2 linked regions of the Xenopus tropicalis genome follow. The protein of the gene in region 1 purifies or fractionates together with the protein of each later gene. This does not show direct contact. Links are inferred from orthologs where the notes say so. Each region holds a gene or a part of one and is shown in the gene's direction. Other genes may lie near its edges. The genes, in order: erbb3 and grb2.

The links.
Region 2: the proteins of erbb3 (region 1) and grb2 purify together in Homo sapiens (affinity purification with mass spectrometry; 3 studies listed by BioGRID and IntAct, with this or other methods). This does not show direct contact. The link is inferred for Xenopus tropicalis from reciprocal best matches to the Homo sapiens genes ERBB3 and GRB2.

What each region holds. Positions count from the first base shown.
Region 1 is NC_030678.2:137,680,250-137,684,072, reverse strand, and holds part of erbb3 (receptor tyrosine-protein kinase erbB-3), read left to right. Parts: intron 1-482; coding exon 483-558; intron 559-683; coding exon 684-830; intron 831-1,174; coding exon 1,175-1,272; intron 1,273-1,678; coding exon 1,679-1,855; intron 1,856-2,031; coding exon 2,032-2,103; intron 2,104-3,091; coding exon 3,092-3,359; intron 3,360-3,823. UniProt on the Homo sapiens protein: Tyrosine-protein kinase that plays an essential role as cell surface receptor for neuregulins.
Region 2 is NC_030686.2:44,468,177-44,472,099, reverse strand, and holds the start of grb2 (growth factor receptor-bound protein 2), read left to right. Parts: upstream 1-1,143; 5' UTR 1,144-1,163; intron 1,164-1,188; exon of another isoform or gene 1,189-1,211; intron 1,212-3,923. UniProt on the Homo sapiens protein: Non-enzymatic adapter protein that plays a pivotal role in precisely regulated signaling cascades from cell surface receptors to cellular responses, including signaling transduction and gene expression.

The sequences.
Region 1 (3,823 bases):
GCCGGTGAATCACCAAGCAGCAGGGTGTCCATTAATGCTGTTTGCAGTTGTTTTTTAGCAACAAGCTTTAAATTAACACAATTGTTCTAGGTGCATCCGGCATTATAGTTTCTAGCATGGATGTGTCAGGGGAATTTACCTGCTTTGGTTTTTGGATTTTTTTTTGTGGACAGGCCTGGACTGGTAATCTGTGGATTCTGGCAAATGCCAGAGCCTTCTCCTGTAAGAGTCACTATTTATTGGGCTCATGGGGGCTGTTTAGGTCTCTGTGTAATTATAATCCCAGGGCCTATTTTGAATCCCAGGCTGGGCCTGTACATACCCCTGTATCTGTTTATTTTACTTCTACATACACTGATTTATAATCAAATTCTGAAAAAAATCAAACTATCCAGTTCACTGAGAAAAATTTTTGAGATTTGATTAAAATTGTACTTTTGTTTTTATTTTTTTTTTAATGTACCTTTTTTGGTACTATGCAGACTCCCGTGAAATGGATGGCTCTGGAAAGTATACACTTTGGGAAGTACACTCATCAGAGTGACGTATGGAGCTATGGTACGTGGAACAGATACCCAAGGCATTATTGTGCTTCACACTGTCATGAACTATATATCATTACCTGCCCTGCCTTTACTCTTAACAATAGTCAGCAATGCCTTTATTTTTGGTTCCTCAAAAAGGTGTTACTCTATGGGAAATGATGACATTCGGTGCAGAACCATACACAGGGATTCGTTTGTCAGAAGTTCCTGACCTCCTAGAGAAAGGGGAGCGACTATCCCAACCACAAATATGCACCATTGATGTCTACATGGTAATGGTGAAATGTAAGTAGAGGTATTCGTTGCTAATCTGGGCTCTCTTAGGCATTAGCAGTACATAGAGATCATTAGAACCTCTCGGAGGCTTTCATGTAGGAGATATCCAGGTATAGGGTCTATTATCCAGAATGATTGGGACCTGGGGTTATCCTGGATAAGGGATCTTTTCGTAATTTTGATCACCATACCTTAAGTCTGCTAAAAATGATTTAAACATTCCTTAAACCTAACAGTATTGTTTTGCCATCAATGTGGATTCATGCAGCTTAGTACAAAGTACTGTTTTATTATTAAACAGCAAACTGTAAGAGCCTGATTGACTTGATTCTGTTACATTCTCTATTTTCTAGGCTGGATGATTGATGAAAATATTCGCCCTACGTTTAAAGAACTCGGAAATGAATTCACCCGTATGGCTAGGGATCCACCTCGCTACCTGGTTGTTACGGTGAGATGAATCTCTTATTGACTGGGTATCATTTATTATTGCCTCAGGGGTGCAAAATTCCATTATTGCTGGATTACATATACAAATCACAAGTGCTATGATACAGTTTGCTCTTCATATTTTTGACTTTCTTATCTTTGCCATTTAAGTATGACCTGCTTCTTATACAATTTTATTGGTGTAAATAATAGAAACCTGGAGACTTCCAGATCTTTTCCTTTTTTTTCTTACTTATTCGCTGGTGTAATGAAAGTAAAACCACATTTCAGCCATATAGCATGACAGATACCCAAGCAAGTTAAAGAAATGACTTTTAAAGACCAAATACATGTAAAAAATACATATAAAAAAAATGTTATTTTGATGATTGTGCACCTTGATGACATCTCTTTTCTTCTCCAAACAGCGCAATAGTGATGCACTTCAGTCCCCACTCCCAGGGGATCCACCACCTCTGTCTGAGAAACAAGTGAGTGATCTGGAGTCTGACGTGGACACTGACCTTGAGTCTGAAGACATGGCAATGCAGCCTAAAACTCCAACTACCCTATATGCCTCACGACAAAGAATTGACTACTCTAGGGTAAGGAAAACAGAGCCTATCAAAAAGGCTTGGGCAAGGAGGGATACAGGCATCATGCAGTGCATGTATATCTTTTTTTATACGTAGCACTTTCAGTTGCAATAGCACAGTCATAAAGTTGCACATGGGGGAATGGTAAGTTTTTTCTGTAAGTTAAATCTTGGCTTTCCTTTCAGAGTCAGAGTGCACTGAGCTCTATCGCTGGGTACCTGCCTATGAACCAGAGTCTTTGCAGCTCCTCAAGAAAGGTAAATTTGGGGTAAAAAAAAAGAATAGCAATGACCACTTAAGGCGGCATGTAGAATAACTTAACTAAGATCATTTTTATTCCTTTCCCAATAAAGTTTATTTAATGTGTACATTAATGTACTGACAGCTATGCCTAAAAAGATAGAAAAGATTTTGTGCCTAATTTTCTATATTTGGATTTATTATATTTTTGTATATATTTGTCACTACAGCAAAAGCCCTTGAGCAGATTGACAGATTACACACCAAGATATGCTAACAGCCCATTTTTATGCTCCAAAATACAAAGAATACATACATTCTAGGAAATAGCAATACAACAAAACTCATATGGGGTTATGTTATTAAAGACACTAAGGGGCTGATTTACTAATCCACGAATGGATCGAAAGCGTCCGAATGCGTTTTTTTTGTAATGATAGGTATTTTGCGATTTTTTCGTCGCCATCGCAATTTTTTTGTAGCCGTTACGACTTGCGCGAATTGTCGCGACTTTTTCGTAGCCGTCGCGAAAAAAACGGAAAGGTTTGCCTGCCGTTTACTACGACTCAATACGAAAAAGTCGCGACAATTTGCGCAAGTCGTAACGGCTGCGAAAAAGTAGCGACAATTTGTGCAAGTCGTAACAGCTACGAAAAAAAATGCAAAAAATACGAAAAAGTCGCAAAATGTTAATTTCCAATACGATTTTTTCCCATTTGGGATTCGGATTCGTGGATTAGTAAATCAGCCCCTAAGTTTGCCCAGGAGCAGTAACCCATAGCAACCAATCAGCAGGAAACATTGACTGGTCACCTATTTAAAAGCAAACATCTTATTGGTTGCTATGGGTTACCACTGCTGGGAAAACTTAGTACTTTTTATTACATATAGGGGACAGCAAGGTTTTCTGCCTGCATTACTCTTAACTAACCCTTCTGTTAAGAGTGAAAATGAACATCTGGGAAGATGTAGATGGGGGGTTTCTAACATGTGGGCTGTTTTCAGGGAACAATGACCTCTGCAGAACCAATTCCAAGACATGGGACACGCAGAAGAGAAGACTCACTTGGCCGAACAGTGTCAGAGTCATCAGAGGGCTGTTGTACTTCTTCAGACCTGGAGACAATAGAGGATAATTCCTATGGCGGAGGGAGCCTGAGCCACATTTCTCGCTCTCGCCTTGACAGTGCATACCGATCCCAAAGGGAGAGCCTCCTTGTTGGGACCCCTGATGATGACAGCGAGTATATCATGCCAGGGCTCAGTCAAAGTGGTGAGTATAGCACAGAAATCCTCTACTCAGAACTCTTGCTGAGAAAAATGGCATGTGCCCAAAACCTTATGGAAATGAAAGATATCCCTGACGCCATAAAGTGGCAAATGTCATCTTAAACCCAAAATATCCATATGTGAAAACAGACTGTATCAGCCAGTATTATGTTACAATTACATGAAATGCATTTGTTCTGCTGCAATTTTTAATTTCATTTACTCTCATTCACACTCTCATTTAAACCACTGCCTGCTCGTTAGGGTATATGGACTCTGGGCAACCAACCAACTGTAAATTACCTCAGAATATCACTATTTACATAATACTAAAAGTACTTTTGGTAAATTGTTTTCATTATATAAATAATGAAGGAGCAACAGTATGTATGAGGTAAAGTAATATACATTAGCTTGGGAATATGTAAACAGAGTAAAAAGTAAATGGCTAATAGAAAGACTGAGTTC
Region 2 (3,923 bases), on another chromosome or scaffold:
GTTCTTAGGAATAATTTTATGGTTGGGGGGTCACCACAACATGAGGAACTGTATTAAAGGGTCGCTGTATTTTTTTTTTCCAGTAAGACAACTATCAGTTGCTCCTCAATGTAGTATGTGTTATTTTACATCTACACCCCCTGCTGTGAGGGGGTCTTAACTGACCAATGGCGCAAATGCCCTCACCATAGGCGTTGGAACTGGGGGAGAGAATTACCCTCACCCCCCCTGGTTTTGGAAGTTGTGGCTAAACAGAGGCAGAGGGGTGGGCGGCACAAGTGGGGCCTCTCCTGGCCCCCAACCAAAAACATCTTCTGCTGCCCCTGCCATACCCATAAACTAGGGTTGCCACCTCTGCCAGCTGAGAAAGTGGGTGGGGGGAGAGGCGGGGTCATGACAATTGCCCGATCACTGAATCAATGCAGGAGGGTTTGACTTTCCCAAAACCAGGTTGTCTGGATCAAAACCGGACAGGTGGCAACCCTACCTTAAACTGGCCCTGGAATGTGGGAAGATATAGATGGGTTTCACACAGGACACCATTAAACACACAGGGAGAAGTCACCATGATAGGGTTCTGTGTAGGCTTGCCACCTTTTCTGGAGAAAAATACCATAATTCCTGTGTACAGCCAAGGGGAGAGTTACAGGTTTATTAGTGATGTGTACAGCCAAGGGGAGAGTTACAGGTTTATTAGTGATGTGTACAGCCAAGGGGAGAGTTACAGGTTTATTAGTGATGTGTACAGCCAAGGGGAGAGTTACAGGTTTATTAGTGATGTGTACAGCCAAGGGGAGAGTTACAGGTTTATTAGTGATGTGTACAGCCAAGGGGAGAGTTACAGGTTTATTAGTGATGTGTACAGCCAAGAGGAGAGTTGTGAATATTTGGTGACCATTTGGACACATGACTATAGATAACCAAATAACCGCAGTCATTGTCCCAAGCTCAAGCCGTATTGACAAAACATGGGCTGCCCCGCCCCTCAAGTGCGTTGCGTTTCACGTCTCATATGACGTCATGCGCCGTTCGCAGGGACTCACGCAGCCCCGGAAGTATCGCGGGAGGATCTGCCCCGGGGCGGAGCGGAAGCGGCCAGGGAGAGAGACAGGAGAAGCGGCTCCGCGGAATTCGGTGAGGGTTCTGAAAAGCTCTATCGAGAGGTGGGGAGATGAGTGTCAGCCGTGTCGTAGAAGTCGATGTAGCGGTGGGTGGGTGTCCGGCTGTTGTTGAGTTGAAAGTCCCATGGGCTGCCAGGGAGGAGGGGGGATAGTGGGAGCTGTAGTACAACAGCAGCAGCAGCAGGAGTGGCGCCCGTTGAAGGGGTGCGCAGAGCGATAGCGATGTTGTTGGGAAGGAGAGTGGGTGAGGGAGTTGGGGAGGCTGATGAGGGGCTGCCGGGTGTGGGGTCGGGAGCAGCCAGTTGCTGTGGGTATGGGTCGGGAGCAGCCAGTGGCTGTGGGTAGGGGTCGGGAGCAGCCAGTGGCTGTGGGTAGGGGTCGGGAGCAGCCAGTGGCTGTGGGTAGGGGTCGGGAGCAGCCAGTGGCTGTGGGTAGGGGTCGGGAGCAGCCAGTTGCTGTGGGTAGGGGTCGGGAGCAGCCAGTGGCTGTGGGTAGGGGTCGGGAGCAGCCAGTGGCTGTGGGTAGGGGTCGGGAGCAGCCAGTGGCTGTGGGTAGGGGTCGGGAGCAGCCAGTGGCTGTGGGTAGGGGTCGGGAGCAGCCAGTGGCTGTGGGTAAGGGAACTGCTGGGGGGAGAGAGGCAGAAAGGGGAAGTGGGGGGAATTGGGGAGACTGAGGGAAGTGCTGAGATGGGCTGAATGCAAGGGGAACTGATGGGGGGGAGATCTATATCAGGATTCCTCAGAAGGGAAGTGGGTAGGGAAATCACACAGCTTGGGGCCCTCCTACTTGTACATTCATTTATAGGGCCACAAGCCTTAGGAGGGGACCTGTGTAATGGGAGAAATGATAGTTTGCCGGGACTGACATCTCACTCTCTGGTGCTGCGGGCTACACTGGTTTCTGTGCAGCCATGATATATGCAGTCACAGTCATTAGCATGTGGATAGGGCCAGGTGGGGTCAGATGGGCCCACACAGTATGATTGGCTTTTAGCATCCCTACCAGACTCCTCATTGGCTTAATTAACCTTTGCTGAGTGATAGCTGACTGTGAGCATTGTGTCTTGGGAACAGTGTGTGACAGCTGTGACAAAGGAAAAGAGACTGCTGATGGGATACCATAGTGGGGGTAACACAGCGAGAGAGAGCAGATGTGCTGGGGGGGTGAAACCAGGGGCAGAACAGGGACAGTTGAGTAGCTGAATAGACTGGAAATTGAGATTAATGAGGGTGAAGCAAGGGGAGAAGTGAACTGTCAGAGGAGGATGATGATGGGTAAAATAGGGCAAATATTATACTGGCTTCCAGACAAGGGGCAGGGGGGGACACAGACTTGGCAACTAAGGGCAAGGTGGGAAAGGAAGAATAGAGTCTGTTCTGGGGGGACAAATTGCCCTCATTTAGATGTTATAATTCACCCCCAGTAGAAGTGAATGGGAATTGCCACTGGGTGTAAGACCTATACTCTGAGTAGGATATACAGACCTGCTGGGCTATAGGAGCAGAAGGGGGATTGGAGGATATATACCAAACCTGGGGGGGGGGGGGGATATAGACTGTATGTGAGGGCTGAGGGGACGCCTGCTGTTGCAAGTGGGAGAAAGAAAATCTGGGCTAGAGGCGCAGCTGCATGTATATTTATAGTGTATGTATATATTTATCTTGTGTTAATTACTTACTGTAGGAAATCAAATCTGGGGCAGTGTGGTGAGATTGGGGTATAATTCACATGCTGGTTTCTAGGGATGCACCGAATCTGGCGAACCCCCAAATCCTATATAAAGCATTTGACCGATTCCTAATTAGCATTGCACACAACGCGTGGCAAAAAATGTTTAACTTCCGTGTTTGCATGACAAAAAGTCTGGTGATTTTTCGGATTCCGTTCAGCCAGGACTGTGGATTCGGCTGAATCTTGGCCAAATACTGGATTCGGCGCATCCCTGCTGGTTTCTGACAGATGCCTGCAACATGCGGCATTTATTATTTATATTTATTATCTGTTTACTGGCTTAATTATGTACCCGGAACATCTTTTTCCCTCTGCTTTATTTAGCAGGATGGGGGCTGCCATTGAACTTAGTTCGTGCGAGCCTTTTCCCCCCATAGGTTTCGGTGGCAACATCGCCACCTGGTGGCCATTATTTGTTTCCTTCTTCATACTAGTTCTTCCTTGATGAATTTGTACTTTGTTCACTTCGTTATATTGTAACACAGCTATAGTCTTGGTTATTTGCATTTCCTCTTATGAGTATGTGGTTAACCCATTGTTATCTTTTATGCTGTCTTGCACTCCCATACACGCCACAATCAGGGTTATAAATTTCTTGGAATAACACTATTCACCTGTTATGGACTCTAGAGGTGCAGGCTTGATTGCATTTGGAATATATAGGCCTGATCACTGCATGCTCAGCGATCAAATACATGGCTCGGAACCTATCATATTGGGTTGGAATCTGCTGATAAAGGGTAGCTAATCGGCTTTGGGCCCCATAACATCTAGTTGTGCTGTTGAAACGGGCCCTTTAAAACACTTTATTTGTGGATTAGATGTATGTGAGAATATATTGAATGTGCAGTGTGGCTTATTTATATAAAGCACTTAACCCCACACGGTCAGGCAGCAGCATCCAGCTAAAGTGCTTGTGTAAACCAGGCAATTACGCAGTTACTTTCCCTTTCATGTGGATGTACATGTTTTGTTTTGGCTACCCGGGCCTGTGCTGAGGGGTGGGGATTGGTAGCTACTCGCAGCCTGGAGAGCAAGCAAAGCTGATTGCTTCACTACCTGGCCATGGCT